Stegostoma tigrinum: one gene and its partners. The protein of the gene in region 2 purifies or fractionates together with the protein of the main gene of each other region. This does not show direct contact. Links are inferred from orthologs where the notes say so. Each region holds a gene or a part of one and is shown on either strand. Other genes may lie near its edges.

Region 1 (7,628 bases), on a different chromosome or scaffold from region 2:
AGATGTCCAAGTTCTTTAAGGACCGCAACTTTCCCCCCACAGTGATCGAGAACGCCCTTGACCGCGTCTCCCGTATTTCCCGCAACAAATCCCTCACACCCCGCCCCCGCCACAACCGCCCCAAGAGGATCCCCCTCGTTCTCACACACCACCCTACCAACCTCCGGATACAACGCATTATCCTCCGACACTTCCGCCATTTACAATCCGACCCCACCACCCAAGACATTTTTCCATCCCCTCCCCTGTCAGCTTTCCGGAGAGACCACTCTCTCTGTGACTCCCTTGTTCGGTCCACACTGCCTTCCAACCCCACCACACCCGGCACCTTCCTCTGCAACCGCAGGAAATGCTACACCTGTCCCCACACCTCCTCCCTCACCCCCATCCCAGGCCCCAAGATGACATTCCACATTAAGCAGAGGTTCACCTGCACATCTGCCAATGTGGTATACTGCATCCACTGTACCCGGTGCGGCTTCCTCTACATTGGGGAAACCAAGCGGAGGCTTGGGGACCGCTTTGTAGAACACCTCCGCTCAGTTCGCAACAAACAACTGCACCTCCCAGTCGCAAACCATTTCCACTCCCCCTCCCATTCTCTAGATGACATGTCCATCATGGGCCTCCTGCAGTGCCACAATGATGCCAACCGAAGGTTGCAGGAACAGCAACTCCTATTCCGCCTGGGAACGCTGCAGCCATATGGTATCAATGTGGACTTCACCAGTTTCAAAATCTCCCCTTCCCCTACTGCATCCCTAAACCAGCCCAGTTCATCCCCTCCCCCCACTGCACCACACAACCAGCCCAGCTCTTCCCCCCCCACCCACTGCATCCCAAAACCAGTCCAACCTGTCTCTGCCTCCCTAACCTGTTCTTCCTCTCACCCATCCCTTCCTCCCACCCCAAGCCGCACCTCCATCTCCTACCTACTAACCTCATCCCACCTCCTTGACCTGTCCGTCTTCCCTGGACTGACCTATCCCCTCCCTACCTCCCCACCTACACTCTCTCCACCTATCTTCTTTACTCTCCATCTTCGGTCCGCCTCCCCCTCTCTCCCTATTTATTCCAGTTCCCTCTCCCCATCCCCCTCTCTGATGAAGGGTCTAGGCCCGAAACGTCAGCTTTTGTGCTCCTGAGATGCTGCTTGGCCTGCTGTGTTCATCCAGCCTCACATTTTATTGCCTTTACATTGTTGCTTTGCAAACAGTGGAGAAGAAGAGATTCCTCTCCACACACTATCAGGGTTTGTTTGCAAAGCAAGTTTAGCTAGCAACAGATTATTTATTCAGACCAGTTGAGGTCACCAGTTTAACAATGCTCTGTGATTGGATCCTGGGCAACTGAACAGTTGCCATGTGTGTAGTGGACAAGGTCAGAAGGCTCTGTCTTCATATCTCTGCAGTAAAATCATTCTAGTTATTTTCTTCCAAAAGTTGCAATGATTTGTTGCTTTTAACCAATAATACAAAGACTGTATCAATTGCCTGTGCCTCCTGCCACAAAGTGAAAGAAACTGAAAAAAGACCAGGCAGTAGACGGTATCTGGAAGAAAAAGGTTCACCTTACTGAGTCTTGTGAACTCGTGCTTTTTGAACTCTGCTTGTCTGTCGGATCTTTCCTCTGTGTTTAACATCAATTTTTTTGGGGGTCTGGCGACTGTTTTCTGTTGGCTTGAATCTGTCAGTCAGGTAAGTTGGGAACTGTACAGACTTTGATTAAATCTTTTCATGATGCCCTAAGGAATAGAGAGGCTCAAGCATCAGCACACTGTCCCAAGTGGGATGTAACACTTAATACACTATGTATCCTTAACTCAGTCACTAACTACATGGTTTAGAAGACACTTGGGGCATCCTGAGATTGTGCTATATAAATTAACATTTTAAAATATATACAGATGTATGGAAAAAGGGCTTTTGAATAGATAATCGTTTGCTAGCACAGATAATATTCCCATTTATATTTACATAAAAATACAAATTATGAGTTGTCATAGGCCATTCAGGCTGAGGGCCTAAATGATCTTCTCCTGTTCCTAGTTCATATGTATAAATGGGCCATACTGTCCGTAACATTGGAAGCAATGTAATGCCTGAAAGTATGATGGAAGCAGATTCAGTTGAGACATTCAAGAGACCATTGGATGATTATTTGGTTAGGAATAACTTGCAAGAATAGGCAAAAGAGCAGAAGATTGACATTAGGTAATAATATGCACTCGAGCTTGCATAGACACGATGGGCTGAATAGCCTCCACCTATGCCATTTGTGTTTTTTTGGCCAAACATTAATCCTCTTAAATGTTTGTCTGAGCTAACTAGTAACAATACTGTGTCAGGGAGATAGAATAACGGAAATAATTGTAATCTTACATACAAAATATACATACATTTGTCAACAGTAAATCATTGTAGCCTTGTTAATTGTGTCAGAAATCAATTACGAAAGGTATTTTGTAATATTAGGATTGAGTATCAATAAAGGATATTGCTGGAAAAGAGAAGCTTTTTGGATGTTTTTCAAATTGTCATCTTAGTCTTTTCCTCTATTCTTTGTGTAATAAACTTAAATTCTTTTTATCAAAGATACAATGGCAACCACTGGTGACTGACCACCATAGTAACAGAATTGTGAAAATAAGAAATGCAAACAGAAATTGCTAGAGAAATTCAGCAAGTCTTGCAGCAAAGTGTTGAGCTGGATGAACACAGCAGGCCAAGCAGCATTTCAGGAGCACAAAAGCTGACCTCGACCCTTCATCAGAAAAGGGGAATGGGGAGAGGGTTCTGAGATAAATAGGGAGAGAGGGGGAGGTGGACCGAAGGTGGATAGAGGTGAAGATAGGTGGAGAGGAGGCAGACAAATTAAAGGGGTGGGGATGGAGCCTGTAGAGGTGAGTATAGGTTGCAGCATCTTTGGGCAGGAAGCAGAGTTAACATTTTGAGAAGATTTGTAGCTCAGGTTGAGGTTCTGGATGTGAGTTTGCTCGCTGAGCTGGAAGGTTAGTTTTTCAGACGTTTCGTCACTATTCTAGGTAACATCATCAGTGAGCCTCTGATGAAGCGCTGGTGTTATGTCCCGCTTTCTATTTATCTGGTTAGGCTTCCTTGGGTTGGTGAATTAACGTTTTGGATCCAGTCACTGCCAGACCCGGTGAGTTTCTCCAGCAATTTCTGTTTGTGTTTCTGTTATCCAGCATCTGGAATTTTTTTTGAAAATGCGACATGGTCTATCAAGACAGATGTTACTCTGGAATTTGACTTGTCCAGTATTACCATGAACTGGTGCCTAAGCAGGCAGTAATCTAGCCAAATGGTGATAGTGAGGGCAACCAACGAAAACCACTATCCTACCCCTTCTGTGTTGCCCATGGTTTCCTCTTGTATTGACAAGTCATCACCTCCTAAGCAGTGCATTCCAGGTGTCCCTTCCCATGTCACCTTTACTTTTGCCAGCTATTGATAAAAGTAGAGGCATATGTATTTCAAAATTTGAGAAACATGTTTTTAAGAAGCCATATTGTTTGTTTAGACCTGTGCAAGTATTAGTGAAATAATATTCAGCCTTACTAGAAGTATGGTTTGGGACAGCATGGTGGCTCAACAGTTAGCATTATTACTTCACAAGTGCCAGGGACCCAAGTTCAATTCCAGCCCTTTGGGTGGCTCGTGTGTGGAGTTTGTGTCAGATGCTCCAGGTTGTTCCTACAGATCAAAGATTTGCAGCTTTAGGTGGACTGGCCATGTTTAACGTGGGGCGAACAAGGATAGGGTGGGCTGCTCTGCGGGTCGTTGCAGATTCATAGGGTCATAGTTCGTGCGATGGGCCGAATGGCCTCTTTCAGCGTTGTTGGGATTCTACGAAATAAGATTGACCAACAATAGATCCAGAACTAGTAAATCACTACGTGTGCTTTCATATTATTTAGTTATAGTTTAAGTTTGACAGTGTTTAAAATTTGTTTTGGGTTTAACTTTGGACTCAAAATGGCGGCACCCACCATTTCCAGAGACGGACATCGAGTTAACCAGAACCTTGTAAAACGCGTAAAAATACTGGCAACAATATGGTAACTATCTGATTTGTTACGTTGAAGAGCTAATTGATTCACCACACAACATCATAGAAAAGCGCGGGTCGATTCGTTATTAGGACGATATAACGGTGCAGAGACAGCCCGGAAACAAACATGGAGGCAAGGAGAAAGGAGCCAAACATCTGCCAATAACAAAGATGGTGACAGTTTCAGTCTGCCAGTAAGAAACATGGCGATAATCAATCACCACCCCCCCCAATCCCCAAAGACTTGTCGAATGCCTGTGTTAAAAATGGCGGAAGTAGAGCTGGCGTGTCTTGCCAGTGTTAAAGATGGCAGTTAACAGCTCAAAACTGCGGATGATGGAAGACTGAAATAAAAATTTAAAGGATTCTGTTAATCGGGGCTTGCAGCAGCTCTACAGTGATTGAGTTCAGTAAATGTGGTAAAAGCTGGATTTTGCAAACAATGCGAGAAATATTTGAGAGGTTTGACGAACACATGGAAGTGAAATGTTAATTCTGTGTATCTTTTCATGTTTCTTTTTTTGTTTATATCCGACTTTCAGCATCAGGTATTCAGTAACGTAGGATTCGCCGACGTGAAAGATATCGATGTGGTCATAACCACGGAAGGCTATTTGCCAATATTGAAGATGGCGGCTGCAATGATATTTGGCAGCTGATGCCCGTTCGCCATATCAAAGATGGCGGCAGTGGTTATAGGTGGCCGCCGCAGGCTGTACGCCAGTAACAAAGATGGCGGTGGACATTCGGTTACCGACGGCGCGAAAGCGTGTCTCTTTACCGGCTGAGGTCGGTAAACATCTGGTATCACCGGGAGACACCATCACCACCGACACCGGTTTCATGAGGTAAAACTAACACAAAAATGGGAGAACTTTTATATTTTAAATCAGGACGTTAACTCCAGAGGCAAGGAAATCCACGTGGGTAGACGGTGCGCATTCGGCCTATAAATTTAAATCTTTTTATCAACGGTCAGTGACTGAAACTCGTTCAAAGTCACATCTCCATAAATACTAGATGGTCGCCATCAGTGCAAACTCGATAGCCTGCATCGAAATGATCTTTGAGAAACCCAGCAGGCCTGTCAGCATCTCTGGAGATATGACCATTCGTTCAGAACATAAAATATTAATTCTGTTTTCTCTCTCAGCAGATGCTGTGAGACCTGCTGAGTTTCTCCAGCATTTTGCGTTTGTTCCAGATTTCCAATAGCTGCCTCATTCTTATTTACCACATCTGCCTCGTCTGTGTCTTAAAATAAGACTCTCCGCTGAATATACAAAAGGGAATGATAGTACTGGAAGCTTCCAAACAAGTATTAGAAAAGACAAAACAGAAGGTGAATCGTATTGGACTCAGTGTAACCTGTATAACCCTCTGCCAGGTTTCACCAGTTTTTATTTCAGATTTCCAACATTTGCAGTGGTTGCTAAAGCAATGTCATCCAGTGCCAGTCTCCTGCTTTTTCCCAATCTTGCATGTTATTTTATCTAAATAATTATTCAATGTTGTCTTAAGTGCATCAGCTGAACCATTCTCCACATTTCCAGTCTCTATGTTCCCTGTCCTGAGTATGCTCACTGAATTTTTTTTTTTCTTGACTTCCTTCTTGTTTCATTTGCAGGTTACTTTAAATTGATGCTCTCCTCTTCTTGTTCCTTTCAAAAGCAGAAACAGTTTCTCCCTATTTTACCCTCTTAAGCTTGTTCTTGATTTCAAAATCTCTATCAGATTGCATTTTAGCTGCCTTCTCTCTCTCTAAAACAGTTATAGCTTCACCAGTCTGTGCTCATTTACTGATATTCCTCATCGTCGGAAGCATTCTTGCAAGCCACTTATACGTTCTCTCCAATGTGTTCACATCTTTTCCTACATGTGGCAGCCAGAACTGTTCACAATACTCGAGCTGAGATCTAACAAGTGCCTTGTATACATTAACAGACAGACTTTAGAAAGAAGGCATAAAGATGACTTAGACTGGTGTCGTGCATATGGCTTTCTGCTTTCATTCTTCAAATCTGTGACTGTTTCATCACTAACTGGAACACAAAATAAATGCATTTATTAATAAAATAATTGGCACAGCAGCCAACACTTCTGTCTCTTGATGACAGGGATTCGGGTTCAATTTTAGCCTTGGGTGACTCTCTCTGGAGTTTGCATGTTTTGCTCTGTGGCTTTCTGTTGGGTGCTCCAGTTTCGTCCCACAGTCCAAAACTGTACAAGTTCGGTGGATTGACTAAATTACCCCACGGTGTCCGTGGATGTGCAGACTACGTGGATCAGCCATGATTCATACAACATTACAGGATAGGATGGGGAGGGCAGTGGGAATGCTGTTCAGAGGGTCAGTGTGGATTCTATGGGGCAAATGGCTTCTTTCCATCCTGTGGTGATTCTAGGAAACTTTAGGTTGGGGTGTTTTGAACCATCAGCAATCGAGGCTGGTAAATCTGCTGCCACAGCCGTACGACAACTTCAAAAGGGAATTTCCAATTGGGCTGTTTCGCAAGTATGCGCAATCTCGTAATGCTGGTGACATGCTTTTAACATATGTTGATTTTTGATAGTGTGCTCAAGTTTATCTTTGAAATAAAGATTTTCTTTCCCTTTAGAATTGCTATATTAGGAGATATGGGGAGGAAAATAGCCACCACATGTCTTTATGGTGTTTGTGCTCTGATTCTTACTTGCACTCTACCTGCCAGTTTTGAATGCAGTGTTTGGAGACTTGGCTCAAGGCCAGCCTCCTGTAACCTTCCTTTTCAAGTAATCCTGCTTGTTTCAACAAATCTATTAAGGTGAATTTTTATGCACTGCCCGTTTGCCAGCATTGCACATTTTAGTTCTTATTGACCCCATGCAACACTCAGTTGCTGAAGTACATCAGTTTTTTTTTGTGAAAACAACCAATGAATAAAACCAAGTCCTTCACTTTGCATCCCAACTGTATTGCCACAACTCCATCTTTTTAGTGTAACATAATACTGAGAGCATCAATTCGCCACATGGCAAGTGACAGATGTATTGGAAACTGTGGCCAATAAAGCTTATGAAACAGGTTCATTGGGATAGGGTGAAGACTTCCTAAGTGGACATGATCTTCAAAATTAAGACCAAGGCCTTGGAAATTAGGAAACATAAATACAGCAGAAGGTTGGCCAGCTAATAGCTCTAAATCTGAGATTGATTTATTCTATTCAAAAGATACAGTGGTGAGAGAAATAGACAAAAGTTCACATTCAGCACCGAACTCTCTCTTTGAAGAGTTGTAGGTTTCCATTAGCCTGCCTTGAGTGGGTAACTTTTGTGTATCCTAATACAGTATATATTATGTCTGTTCCAGAGGCCATGGTACCTATATGGAAGATGAGAAGCTAATTGCGTCAGTTGCTGGAGCTGTGGAAAGAGTGAACAAGTTGATATGTGTCAAACCACTTCAAACCAGGCATGTCCTTAACACTTACTGTCTGTGCATTTGGTCATCGAACAATGAGTAAATTTTATAGAAATGGTTTGATTCCATTTCATAACCAGTAGTTGTATTAAGGTTT
Region 2 (7,164 bases):
TTGGCAAATTTACCTTCTTTGGCCATGCACTGAGTACAGCATTCGTGTACATCATGGTGCAGCTGTACAGGATATTGGTGAGGCCACTTTCAGAATATTGCATTCAATTCTGGTCTTCCTGTTATAGGAAAGATGTTGTTAAATTTGATAAGGTTCAAAAAAGATTTGTAAGGATGTTGCTGGGATTGGAGGGTTGGAGCTATAAGGTGAAGCTGAATAGGCTGGAGTATTTTCCTCTGTACCGCTGGAGGCTGAGAAGTGACTTTATAGAGGTTTATAAAATCATGAGGGGCATGGATAGGGTGAAAGGCCAAGGTCTTTTTCCCAGGGTAAGGGAGTCCAAAATTGAGGACATAGGTTTAAAGTGAGAGAGGAAAGATGCAAAAGGGATCCAAGGGGCAACTTTTTCACTCATAGGGTGGTGCGTGTATGAAATGTGCTGCCAGAGGAGGTGGGTGAGTTGAGTACAATAACAACATTTACAAGGCATATGGATGGGTACATGAATTGCAAGTGTTTAGAGGGATATGGGCCAAATGTTAGCAAATGGAATTAGATCAGTTTAGGATATCTGGTTGGCACAGACAAGTTGATCCAAGGTATCTGTTTCTGTGCTGTATAACTCTATAGCTCCATAAATTTAAAGCACTGCAAAACAGTAGTCATGCACCTAGGATCCTTCCACGAGCTTATCAATAAAGAAATATTGTACAGGAATTCTCCAGAGTTTCCCCTCCGATCACAGCATTTATTGGTCTACTGCAGTTTATGGAGGAGAGTTTGTGATTTGCCAGATGATATAACAACATCAACATACTTAACCACATATGAGAACAAGAAAACAGCATCTATATAATTCTGTACAAAGGTAGAATGCCTTCAAGTAATAGTTAGTTAGTTTTCATTATAATTACCGGGAGGTTTGAGGTCACTCCAACTATAAACCTCAGGACATAAATATCAGAGATAGTAGGAACTGCAGATGCTGGAGAATCTGAGACAACAAGGTGTAGAGCTGGATGAACACAGCAAGCCAAGCAGCATCATAGGAGCTCTGCTGCTCCTATGATGCTGCTTGGCCTGCTGTGTTCATCCAGCTCGATACCTTGGACCTAAATATCAGCTGTTTCCTTTATCATTTTGTGAACTTCTTTCACCCTTGAAAACCTGCTGCTTTTAGTTCACTGGGAACTTGTCACATTCTGACCTGTTTGCTGGTGTTGCCTTCACCTTCAAATTGCATTTGGAAGTGGAAGAACACAATGTTGATCTTTCTACAGTTAGTCAACAAATGCACCATGTTTGTCACAGGCCATATCAGCCCTCAGTCAGTTGGCCATTGACAACAGACATGCTGATTTTACACCAAATATGTATTGTTGCAAACTGCTGTTATTCACTGCAAGTAATTTTAAAAATCAAGATAAAAATCAAATATTACAGAAACCAAAAGAACTGCAGACACTGTAAGTCAGAAACAGAAGCTCTGGCCTTTTCTTTGCAGATGCTGCCAGACCTGCTGAGCTTTTCCTGCAACTTCTGTTTTTGATCAAATATTATGAGTTACAAATCACAGGCCATAGTTAAATAATCATAGTGCTCAAGCTTTAACTGTTTGATTCAGTAACTGACCAGTGCTTTGCGTGATCTTTAAATCCATCAAATATTAAAGATAGATAGCCATCACAAACCTGCGTCCCTTCTGGTGTTGGACAGCCTGACAAGCTGTCTGCATGAAGACAATGCCTCTCAATTCTGGAAACTCAAGTATCTCCAAATAATCCTGCACCACTTTCCAGTCAGGTATCACATAATGAGTTGCACTTTCTGACAACAATTTCCCTTCTGAAACATTAAGTTAACGCAGAATTAAGCAAGTAGCATAAAAGACAGTACGTTAGTTGCAAAAGTAACACTGATATTCAGGTGAGATATTTAGTTACTATTTCAATGTTCATATGAAAATAAAAGATCCCATGGCACTATTAGAAGAAACAAGGAGCTCTCTCAATATCCTGGGCAGTATTTTCCCTCAACTAACCTCAGTTGCAGATTGTCCAATTACATCTGAGAGATATTTCTAAGTGAGAATTTACTTGCATACTCACTGTACTTCAAACTTAATTCAATTGTATATATCTTTGGGATGTTCACAGGAAATGAAAGATATATAAAATTCCTTCTATATTAGGAGTTCAGTTCTATCCTCATCCTGAATATTTTTGAGTATTATTTTATTCAATTTTTACAATGTCAACTGTGGTTCAATAGGTAGCATTATCTCACCTCTGAGTCAGGAGGTTGTATGTTCAAGTCCCACATCAGAAGCTCGACTACTCAATCCAGGCCGACACTCCCAGTACAGTACTTGAGAAAGTGCTGCACTGTCAGAGGTGTCATCTTTCAGGTGGATATAAAAGATCCCACAAGCTCTACTTCACAGAACAGCAGGGAAGTTCTCCCTGCCATCGTGGCCAATATCTATGTTCAATCAACATCGGGAAGAGATTTTCTGGACAGGAACTGCTGTTTTGGGATCTTGTTGAGTGCAAATTGGCTGCTGTGTTTCCTACATCAGTGGCCACATTTCTAAGTACTTCATTGGTTATAAAACACTTTGAAACCGCCAGAAAAATGTGATATAAATGCAATATTTTCTTTTCTCCATGAGTTTTAATATCGTTGAGAGTTCTGCTTTGTAGATGACTGTACCCGCTCGGCCATACTTTACCATTGTAGCACTCAGCCTGGCACAGGGAACTGTTACAGGGAACCGACTGCCTGAGGTAATGCTCCCTCACAACTCGAACTGATTTCCCTTTGCAGCTCCTCAGGTGCAGCACCTTCTCCGTTTTTATCATTACACTGTTGTAAACAAGCGGAGGAGCCATTAAGCGATTACTTTTCTTCTCGAACTCAATTCTCCGACAAGCCCCAGGAAGACCACGCTCCGCGGATGTAAACAACTCGAACAAACACCTCCTGCCTTCCTAGCGCCCATTTTCCGCCCGCCTCAACCTGACAGCTTCCCCCGCGTGTGAACCGGAAATGTAATTCGGTGCTGCGGGGCAAAGGGTTGCACTGCGGGGCAAAGTGATGGACTAGGAGCGCATGCGCAAACTGAACTGCTCCTTGCAATCTGAATGTGTTACACATTTCCAAATAAAAGGTAACAAGATGTAGAGCAGGATGAACACAGCAGGCCAAGCTGCATCAGAGGAGCAGGAAGGCTGACGTTTCTGAAAAGAGGTCTAGGCCCGAAACGTCAGCTTTCCTGCTTCTCTGATGCTGCTTGGCGCTGTGCTCATCCAGTTCTACACCTTGTTATTTCAGATTCTCCAGCATCTGCAGTTCCTGCTATCTCCACGTAAAGGTAACCTACTGTTTGTGTGCTTGACTGTTAACATGAAACAAATCACCCCACTTTAACGAATTTCAGATCTGTCTGTTTCTTTTTGATTATATTACTCCCTTTTTAGAGAAAGTACTTTCCTACATTAGCAACTCTGCTCAGAATTGGGTCTCACTGAATATCGGGGAGTTTCTCGACTTTGTAGCAAACTGATCTCTTGATCGCAATACATAGCCTTGAAGATGTCGAAGATTCTCACACGGTATTCAATGTTACTGCAGGAAGATGCCACTCGGAGATTTGCAGTAAAAAATGTCGAATAAACTGGTTGAAAATCCATGAATCATTCTAGAGATAACATTAGATCTAAATAAAAGTGGAATGTATAAACAAAAGAGGTAATATCATTAGGATACTTTATGCTCCTAGTACGAGTCTTAAATAATTATGTGACTGAGGGAGTTCTGTGCATATGTGCTTACATGAATCTCCAGACCTCCATTCTCGGTGATTACGGTTTCTTAGAAGGGAAAAAATTGCGTTCCTCTCATGTAATAATGATTATAATTTCTTTTTCAAATTTGGACTGGAACTTTCTAGATGCTATTAATTTAAATACAATGGCTGTCCAAAGAGACTTGGGGTGCATAGAGTCATACAACACGAAAAAAACCCTTTAGTCCGCCCCCTGCCTGGGTTTCCGAAACTGAAACAGTTCCATTTACCCGAGCTTAAAACGCAATGAACACGTACAGAGAATAATGAAGAAAGCTAACGGCATGCTAACATTTAAAACCAGCGGACTGGAGAATAAGATGGCAGAAGTTATGTTGCTGTTATACTGGTTCGACCCCAGTTGGAATACTGTGAGCAGATCTGCGCACAACACCTGAGGAAGGATATCTTCGCCTTGGAGGGAGTACAACATAGGTATACAAGAATGAAACCTGGACCAGTGGCTACTATATGAGGAAAGATTAGACAAATTAGGCCTTTTTTTCCAGAATTTGGAAGATTAGGAGTGATCCCATTGAAGTCTTCAATATATTAACTAGAAAAGACAGGGTAGGTCAAGATATTGCCCTGGTCAGTGATTCGAGAACCAGAGGACATAGGCTGAGAATTAGGGCCAGACCGTTCAGGGGAGATGGTGGAAAACACTTGCACACACAAAGAATGGTAGAGGTTTGGAACTCTCCTCCATAAACTGCAGTGGATCAATTGTTATTTTTAGATGCATTTTTATTCAGCAAAGATATTAAGGGACAAAGGCCAAAAGGAGTTAAGCTATACAGCAGCCATGATCTCATTGAACAGAACAGCCCGAATGGCCTACTCCTGTTCCTATATTTCCAAGTTCATAACAGACACAAGCTGAACTGCCTTAAGTGTAAATCATGGCATGAAATGCTACTCTTGGGTGGTTTCAGTTACTTTCGATATTCAGGTCAAGTTTGATTCCCAAATCATGTCGCTACGCTTACCTCATACAACACCTTAAACATCTTCACATCAGTACCAGTCTTACATCAAAAGCTGTGATCAGAGATAATGGGGACTGCAGGTGCTGGAGAAACCAGGACAACAAAGTGTGGAGCTGGATGAACACAGCAGGTCAAGCAGCATCTCAGGAGCACAAAAGCTGACGTTTCAGGCCTAGACTCTTCATCAGAAAAGAGGGATGGGGAGAGGGTTCTGGAATAAATAGGGAGAGAGGGGGAGGTGGACCGAAGATGGAGAGAAATGGAGATAGGTGGAGAGGAGAGAATAGGTAGGGAGGGGATAGGTCAGTCCAGGGAAGACAGACAGGTCAAGGAGGTGGGATGAGGTTAGTAGGTAGGAAATGGAGGTGTGGCTTGAGGTGGGAGGAAGGGATAGGTGAGAGGAAGAACAGGTTAGGGAGGTGGGGATAAGCTGGGCTGGTTTTGGGATGCAGTGGGCAGAGGGGACGAGCTGGGCTGGTTTTGGGATGCAGTGGGGGAAGGGGAGATTTTGAAGCTTGTGAAGTCCACATTGATACCATTGGGCTGCAGGGTTCCCAAGCAGAATATGAGTTGCTGTTCCTGCAACCTTCAGGTGGCATCATTGTGGCACTGCAGGAGGCCCATGATGGACATGCCATCTAAAGAATGGGAGAAGGAGATAAAACGGTTCGTGACTGGGAGGTGCAGTTGTTTATTGTGAACCGAGCTGAGGTGTTCTGCAAAGCGGTCCCCAAGCCTCTGCTTGGTTTAGTCTGCCTTCCGGAGAGACCACCCTCTCTGTGACTCCCTTGTTCGCTCCACACTCCCCTCCAACACCACCACACCCGACACCTTCCCCTGCAACCGCAGGAAGTGCTACACTTGCCCCCACACCTCCTCCCTCACCACCATCCCAGGCCCCAAGATGACTTTCCATATTAAGCAGAGGTTCACCTGCACATCTGCCAATGTGGTATACTGTATCCACTGTTCCCGGTGTGGCTTCCTCTACATTGGGGAAACCAAGTGGAGGCTTGGGGACCGCTTTGCAGAACACCTCCACTCAGTTCGCAATAAACAACTGCACCTCCCAGTCACAAACCATTTTATCTCCTTCTCCCATTCCTTAGACGACATGTCCATCATGAGCCTCCTGCAGTGCCACAATGATGCCACCCGAAGGTTGCAGGAACAGCAACTCATATTCTGCTTGGGAACCCTGCAGCCCAATGGTATCAATGTGGACTTCACCAGCTTCAAAATCTCCCCTTCCCCCACTGCATCCCAAAACCAGCCCAGCTTGTCTCCTCCCCCCACTGCAACCCAAAACCAGCCCAACTTATCCCCACCTCCCTAACCTGTTCTTCCTCTCACCTATCCCTTCCTCCCACCGCAAGCCGCACCTCCATTTCCTACCTACTAACCTCATCCCACTTCCTTGACCTGCCCGTCTTCCCTGGACTGACCTACCCCTTGCCTACCTATTCTCTCCTCTCCACCTATCTCTTTTTCTCTCCATCTTCAGTCCACCTCCCCTTCTGTCCCTATTTATTCCAGAACCCTCTCCCCATCCCCCTTTTCTGATGAAGGGTCTAAGCCCGAAACGTCAGCTTTTGTGCTCCTGAGATGCTGCTTGACCTGCTGGGTTCATCCAACTCCACACTTTGTTGTCTTACATCAAAAGCTTATGGCTCAATCTTACTAGAAAATACAGTAGAAAGCAATGAACTGAAATATTCAAACGTACAAAGATTGGTTTAATTGAAGGCACGGTTTCTTTTTCTTGAATTAAGTAGAGCTTTACTCAGAATTTGGACCATTTCATGATGCTTGATGTAAAATTGACATCAAAGAGAATTGTTTCCCAGCATTAACGACCTGCATCCCTCACATTCTGAAAAACAAAACCTTGGTGTCGTGGAACTGCCAGCACATATCTCCCATCCCAATAAAAATGTGTACGTTGCTTCTAAACTTCTAAAAATCGTCAATCTTTCTTTAAAAATAATTTGTACTAACCCTAAGCTGTCATGGTTCTTTCTCCACATCTTTAATGGAGCAAAACAAAAGGGGCAGATGCGCTAACTATACTTGCAGGTGCAAGAAAACACCACAGCAGTCCGCTCATTCATGTTGTGAAATAACTGGGGCTCCCGAAATGTTGCCCTATGAATGGTTAGTTTTCTTTGTTAGGTAAATTAGCGTCGATTTTGTCTGGCAGATCACATGCAGCAAATCGATCAGCATCTGAGCCAGAAGGAAAGGTTAATTTTCTTGATGATCCTGACCACACAGATAACCTTTCTTTCTCTGTGAAGTGATGATTGATGGACGTGCTGGACACTTTCA
Region 3 (6,989 bases), on a different chromosome or scaffold from region 2:
GGTCAGTACTGAGGAAGTGCCTCACTGTTGGAGGGTCAGTACTGAGGAAGTGTCTCACTGTCGGAGGGTCAGTACTGAGGAAGTGTCTCACTGTCGGAGGGTCAGTACTGTGGAAGTGTCTCACTGTCAGAGGGTCAGTACTGAGGGAGTGCCTCACTGTTGGAGGGTCAGTTCTGAGGGTGTGTCTCACTGTTGGAGGGTTGGTGCTGAGGGAGTGGGCACTGTCGGAGGGTCAGTGCTGAGGGAGCACCGCACTAGCAGAGAGTCAGCGCTGAGGGAGCGCACAGTTTTGGAGGCTCAGTGCTAAGGGAGTGTCGCATTGTCATAGGGTCAGTGCTGAGGGATCGCCTCACTGACGGAGTGTCAGTACTGAGTGACCGCCGCACTGTCGGAGGGTCAGTGCTGAGGGAGCACCACACTGTCGGAGTGTCAGTGCTGAGGGAGCACCGCACTGTCGGAGGGTCAGTGCTGAGGAAGCGTTGCACTGTTGGAGGGTCAGTGCTGAGGGAGCGCCGCACTGTCGGAGGGTCAGTGCTGAGGGAGTGCTGCACTGTCGGAGGGTCAGTGCTGAGAGAGTGCTGCATTGTCGGAGGGTCAGTACTGAAAGAGTGCCTCACTGCTGGAGGGTCACAGGTGGCCATAAAAGATCATGGCACTTTTGAAACAAGGGCAGAGGCAGCCCCCACAGGCTCTGGTGCCAATGTTTGTCCCTTATCACAGATCCAATGTCAATTTGCTCACTCTTACGCTATTGTCTGTGCATGTTTGCTGTGCGCAAATCAATTGCCTTATATCCTACATTCCAACCTTGACTAGACTTCAAAAGTTCTTTAGTAAAATGCTTTAGGATATTGAGAGGAAGTTAACAACAGTGTCTAACTGCAGTTATCATTTTGATTAATTGTAAATGATAAGTCTGCTACAAAAAATGCAACCGAGTTATTCTGGCTAATTTTAAACTTGCAGACCCTCTCGACCACACGGTCTTTGTTAATGTGTAACAAAGCTTTGCAAACTAACGTGTGTTTATGAATCTTTGTTAATCTGTGATCCTCGTTCTGTCGCTCAGCACCAAAGCTTACCACACTGTGTAATTTGAAAGGAGCAGGAATTTGTTCAGTGAGATGACGTAAACTGGAAGACTACTTCTGTTGAACATGGATTGATACAGACTCACCTGCGGCACAGGCAGTAAAAATGAATAAATCAACATCAACCCTCCCGATGTTGCTCCTGATCATTCAGTGCCAGCTAGCTGTGCTGGCAAGTTTTACAAATTGCTTCAAAGTTCAGATATCTTAAAAGCAAAGAAAGGAAAACCACCAGTTAGAATTATTTTAAACACCAAGTGCATGGTTTCCACAAAAGGCTAGAATTACGGAGCAGTGGGGAGAAGAGGATGCTGGTGAGTATCTAACCACCCTCCCCAGTCACATCAACTCAGTATGCTTCCCATCAGCCAAGCTGCAAATCCCTGCCTGGCTAATCCTGCCAGTCTGACCCCAGTCCCTTCAGTCTGATGTCCTGAACCCCTGTCAGTCTAACCCCAGTCCCATCAGTCTGATGTCCTGAACCCCTGTCAGTCTGACCCCAGTCCCATCAGTCTGATGTCCTGAACCCCTGTCAGTCTAACCCCAGTCCCTTCAGTCTGATGTCCTGAACCCCTGTCAGTCTGACCCCAGTCCCATCAGTCTGATGTCCTGAACCCCTGTCAGTCTAACCCCAGTCCCTTCAGTCTGATGTCCTGAACCCCTGTCAGTCTGACCCCAGTCCCATCAGTCTGATGTCCTGAACCCCTGTCAGTCTAACCCCAGTCCCATCAGTCTGATGTCCTGAACCCCTGTCAGTCTAACCCCAGTCCCATCAGTCTGATGTCCTGAACCCCTGTCAGTCTAACCCCAGTCCCTTCAGTCTGATGTCCTGAACCCCTGTCAGTCTGACCCCAGTCCCATCAGTCTGATGTCCTGAACCCCTGGCAGTCTAACCCCAGTCCCTTCAGTCTGATGTCCTGAAACCCTGTCAGTCTGACCGCAGTCCCATCAGTCTGATGTCCTGAACCGCTGTCAGTCTGACTCCAGTCCCTTCAGTCTGATGTCCTGAACCCCTGTCAGTCTGACTCTAGTCCCTTCAGTCTGATGTCCTGAAACCCTGTCAGACTGACCCCAGTCCCATCAGTCTGATGTCCTGAACCCCCGTCAGTCTGACCCCAGGCCCATCAGTCTGATGTCCTGAACCCCTGTCAGTCTAACCCCAGTCCCATCAGTCTGATGTCCTGAACCCCTGTCATTCTGACTCCAGTCCCATCAGTCTGATGTCCTGAAACCCTGTCAGTCTAACCCCAGTCCCATCAGTCTGATGTCCTGAACCCCTGTCAGTCTGACCCCAGTCCCTTCAGTCTGATGTCCTGAACCCCCGTCAGTCTGACCTCAGTCCCATCAGTCTGATGTCCTGAACCCCTGTCAGTCTGACCCCAGTCCCTTCAGTCTGATGTCCTGAACCCCCGTCAGTCTGACCTCAGTCCCATCAGTCTGATGTCCTGAACCCCTGTCAGTCTGACCCCAGTCCCTTCAGTCTGATGTCCTGAACCCCCGTCAGTCTGACCTCAGTCCCATCAGTCTGATGTCCTGAACCCCTGTCAGTCTGACCCCAGTCCCATCAGTCTGATGTCCTGAACCCCTGTCAGTCTGACCCCAGTCCCTTCAGTCTGATGTCCTGAACCCCCGTCAGTCTGACCCCAGTCCCATCAGTCTGATGTCCTGAACCCCTGTCAGTCTGACCCCAGTCCCTTCAGTCTGATGTCCTGAACCCCTGTCAGTCTGACCCCAGTCCCATCAGTCTGATGTCCTGAACCCGTCAGTCTGACCCCAGTCCCATCAGTCTGATGTCCTGAACCCCTGTCAGTCTGACCCCAGTCCCTTCAGTCTGATGTCCTGAACCCCCGTCAGTCTGACCCCAGTCCCATCAGTCTGATGTCCTGAACCCCTGTCAGTCTGACCCCAGTCCCTTCAGTCTGATGTCCTGAACCCCTGTCAGTCTGACCCCAGTCCCATCAGTCTGATGTCCTGAACCCCTGTCAGTCTGACCCCAGTCCCATCAGTCTGATGTCCTGAACCCTGTCAGTCTGACTCCAGTCCCATCAGTCTGATGTCCTGATCCCTGTCAGTCTGACCCCAGTCCATCTGAACCAGTGTAACTCCCACAAACCGCTAGTTTAATCCCCCCGTCACCCCGAATCCTGGTCAGTCTGGTTGCCCCCTAACCCTGACCTCGGTGTCGGTCTAACACCACGAAGCCCTGACAGACTGATCGCCCCGAGCCTCCGGTCAAACTCACTCGGACACCTCTGCCTCTGTGACCGAGGCGTTGACCCGTCCACCGGCGAAGCCACGCCCAAACCCAGCCCCCTCCAATCACGAATAGGGGGGCGGGTCCGCACTGTCCAATCCTCAACGTCGACACTCCAATGGCCAATCGGGGAGAGAGCAAGGCAGCGTACCAACCAATCACAAAACAACAGCGCATGCATTGGTGCTGGGGGATCCACTCAGCAGAAAGGAACGCCGCAGCCGATGGAGCCCCACTTTGATTGGCGGAGCCCCCACCAATGCGCTCACAGTGCCAACAGATCAGATATTCTACATTTGGATTGGTCCTCACACTGGCCAATGCACTTTCGAAAGCTCTAGGAATTGCTTGGCAACCTTAGATGATAAGTCAATATTAAGTGGAACTGAGACGTTAGCGGCATTTTCTAAGGGAACTAGGGATTGAACTCAATTCGGAGGCACAGATTTAGAAGCAAACGTAAAGTCTTGTGCTGATCCTCTCAATACAGCATGATCTATTCTCTATTATACTGTCATCTGAAGGCTGCTGTCAATATCGAACTACAATTCCCAAGATGCAATCACTGAGCGGCTCAAAGGCTTTGGTTCCGGAGGACGCTGGGAGTTGTAGTCCGGGGGACGCCCCGCGGCCGCACGGGGGTTTCTGGGAGCTGCAGTCCATTTCCGGTACGAGACGGCCGACAAGATGGCGGGGATGGAGCTGCTCTCTGATCAGGGATACCGCGTGGACGGTCGGAAACCCACCGAGCTTCGGAAGATTCAGGCCCGAATGGGGGTGTTCGCTCAAGCCGATGGCTCAGCTTATATCGAGCAGGGGAATACCAAGGCGCTGGCAGTTGTTTACGGTCCGCATGAGGCAAGTACCCAGTGCGCATGTGTTTTGCTGGCGCGCATGTGCAGGCATGGCACGGGGTTAGATACAGAGTAAAGCTCACTCTACACTGTCCCCCATCAAACACTCCCAGGGACAGGGACAGCACGGTGTTAGATACAGAGTAAAGCTTCCTCTACACTATTCCCCATCAAACACTCTCAGGGACAGGGACAGCACAGGGTTAGATACAGAGTAAAGCTCCCTCTACACTGTCCCCATCAAACATTCTCAGGGACAGGGACAGGGACAGCACCGTGTTAGATACAGAGTAAAGCTTCCTCTACACTGTCCCCCATCAAACATTCTCAGGGACAGGGACAGCACGGTGTTAGATACAGAGTACAGCTACCTCTACACTGTCCCCCATCAAACATTCTCAGGGACAGGGACAGCACGGTGATAGATACAGAGTAAAGCTTCTTCTACACTGTCCCCCATCAAACATTCTCAGGACAGGGACTGCACAGGGTTAGATACAGAGTAAAGCTTCCTCTACACTGTCCCCCATCAAACATTCTCAGGACAGGGACTGCACAGGGTTAGATACAGAGTAAAGCTCTCTCTACACTGTCCCCATCAAACATGCCCAGGGACAGCACGGGGTTAGCTGTAGTGTAAAGCTCTCTCTACAATGTTCCTTTTGTTGCTGCCTGTGTCTGTGTTGTAGGTGATAGTGATCACAGTACCCTGTGTTTCAGGTTCGTGGTGCTCGCAGTAAAGCCCTACATGACAAAGCAATGGTGAACTGCCAGTACAGCATGGCGACCTTCAGCACAGGCGAGCGTAAGCGGAGACCCCATGGAGACCGCAAGTCATCAGAGATGACCCTGCACCTGAAACAGACATTCGAAGCTGCCATTTTGACACAGCTTTACCCGCGATCCCAAATTGATATTTACGTGCAGGTATTGTGTTCTGAGCCTTACCCTGGCCTCTAGATCTGATCTTCACTCGCTTGCTTGGCCCTTCTACCTGAGTCAGGTCCTGAACCTGAGTCCCCTCTCCCATCCCAGTTACCCTTTACTTAGTGCAGCTTCTTTTGTTAGGTGCTCTGCCTCACCCCACATGAACAGAAGTTCTTTCCTCTCATAGGAATTTCTGGAACACTGGGACTGAGCACTAGAAATTTCGGAAGGTCATTAAAAGTGATGTCAGGAAGTCCTTCCTCACATTAATGAGAGTGGAAATCTGGAACTGTCTCACTGAAAGATGGGAATGCAGTGGGTAAATTTGAATTTTGAAAGTATGGTAGAGAAACATGAGATGTCGGAGTTGAAGCTGTTGGAGCCTTCTCTGCCATTCACTGAGATCACTGGCTGATCTGATCCTCAACTCCACTCTCCTGCCTTTTCCCCTCAACAGCCTCCTGTGGCAAAGGATTCCACAGATCCACTCCTGTAGGAGGAGAAATTCCTCTTCATCTGTCTTCAATAGGTAATTCTGTGTTCTGAAATAATGTCCTCTGGTCATAGACTTTCACATAAGTGGGGAATGTTCGCACCTCCCAGTAATGAACCATTTCAAATCCTCCTCCCATTCCTCAGACGACATGTCCATCCTGCAGTTCCACAACGATTCTACCTGAAGGTTGCAGGAACAGCATCTCATATTCCGCTTGGGAGCCCTGCAACCCAATGGTATCAATGTGGACTTCACAAGCTTCAAAATCTCCCCTCCACCTGCCGCATCCCAAAACCAGACTAGCTCGTCGCCACCTCGCTAACCTGTCCTTCCTCTCACCTTTCCCCACCTCCCACCTCAAGCCCTACCCCCGTTTCCTACCGACTAACCTCATCCCGCCCCCTTGACCTGTTAGTCCTCCCTGGACTGACATATCCCCTCCCTATCTCTCCACCTACACTCACCCTTACTGGCTACATCCCCACCTCTTTGACCTGTCTGTCTCCTCTCCACATATCTTCTCCTCTATCCATCTTCTATCTGCCTCCCGTCTCTCCATATTTATTTCTGAAACCCCTTTCCCCTCCCCCATTTCTGAAGAAGGGTCTAGGCCCGAAATGTCAGCTTTCCTGCTCCTCTGATGCTGCTCAGCCTGCTGTGTTCATCCAGCCCTACACCTTGTTATCTCTAATATCCTTGCATCTACCCAGTCAAGCACCCTAAGAATCTTGCATTTCAATAAGGTCACCTCTCATTCTTTTATATTCTAATAAGTACAGATGCAATAAACTCAACTTCTTGATTAGACAGTCCCGATATGCCTGGTATCAGCCAAATGAACCTTCTCTGGACTGCCTGCAATGCCAGTTATTCTGTCCTTTGATAAAAGGGCCCAGAACTGTTCACAATATTCCAGCTGTAGTCTGACTAGTGCCTTGTACAGTTTCAGTAAAACCTCTCTACTTTTATATTCCACTCTGTTTGAAATAAGAACCTGCCCCTCTCAAAGCCATGCTGACTCCCTTTAATCATGCTATGCTTTTCCAGAGAGTCATAAATCCTATCCCTCAGAATTCTTTCCAAAACCTTGCTGACCACAGACGTAAGACTGACTGGTCTGTAATTTCCAGGGATTTCCCTATTCCCTCTCTTGAAAAGAGGAACAACATTTGCCTCCCTCCAATCTTCCGGTACGACTCCCACGGAGAGTGAGGAAGCAAAGATCTTCGCCAGCGTCTTAGCAACCTCCTTTCTCGCTTCCTGGAGCAACCTAGAATAAATGTTTTTGGAAATATGGACTTAATGAACTCTTCTGCACTGTGATTCTAAGAATCTGATAAGCAGTCTTCACTGTCACCTTTAGCTTT

The links. Proteins that work in one complex are often made in the same cells at the same time.
Region 1: the proteins of dis3l (region 2) and exosc2 purify together in Homo sapiens (affinity purification with mass spectrometry; 5 studies listed by BioGRID and IntAct, with this or other methods). This does not show direct contact. The link is inferred for Stegostoma tigrinum from reciprocal best matches to the Homo sapiens genes DIS3L and EXOSC2.
Region 3: the proteins of dis3l (region 2) and exosc4 purify together in Homo sapiens (affinity purification with mass spectrometry; 5 studies listed by BioGRID and IntAct, with this or other methods). This does not show direct contact. The link is inferred for Stegostoma tigrinum from reciprocal best matches to the Homo sapiens genes DIS3L and EXOSC4.

Annotation. Positions count from the first base shown.
Region 1 is NC_081382.1:41,692,233-41,699,860, reverse strand, and holds the start of exosc2 (exosome complex component RRP4), read left to right. Parts: upstream 1-4,625; 5' UTR 4,626-4,803; coding exon 4,804-4,919; intron 4,920-7,420; coding exon 7,421-7,522; intron 7,523-7,628. UniProt on the Homo sapiens protein: Non-catalytic component of the RNA exosome complex which has 3'->5' exoribonuclease activity and participates in a multitude of cellular RNA processing and degradation events.
Region 2 is NC_081386.1:34,950,585-34,957,748, forward strand, and holds the start of dis3l (DIS3-like exonuclease 1), read right to left. Parts: upstream 3,022-7,164; 5' UTR 2,892-3,021; coding exon 2,732-2,891; exon of another isoform or gene 2,287-2,731; intron 1,846-2,286; coding exon 1,692-1,845; intron 1-1,691. UniProt on the Homo sapiens protein: Catalytic component of the RNA exosome complex which has 3'->5' exoribonuclease activity and participates in a multitude of cellular RNA processing and degradation events.
Region 3 is NC_081355.1:159,722,726-159,729,714, forward strand, and holds the start of exosc4 (exosome complex component RRP41), read left to right. Parts: upstream 1-3,986; 5' UTR 3,987-4,032; coding exon 4,033-4,203; intron 4,204-4,919; coding exon 4,920-5,126; intron 5,127-6,989. UniProt on the Homo sapiens protein: Non-catalytic component of the RNA exosome complex which has 3'->5' exoribonuclease activity and participates in a multitude of cellular RNA processing and degradation events.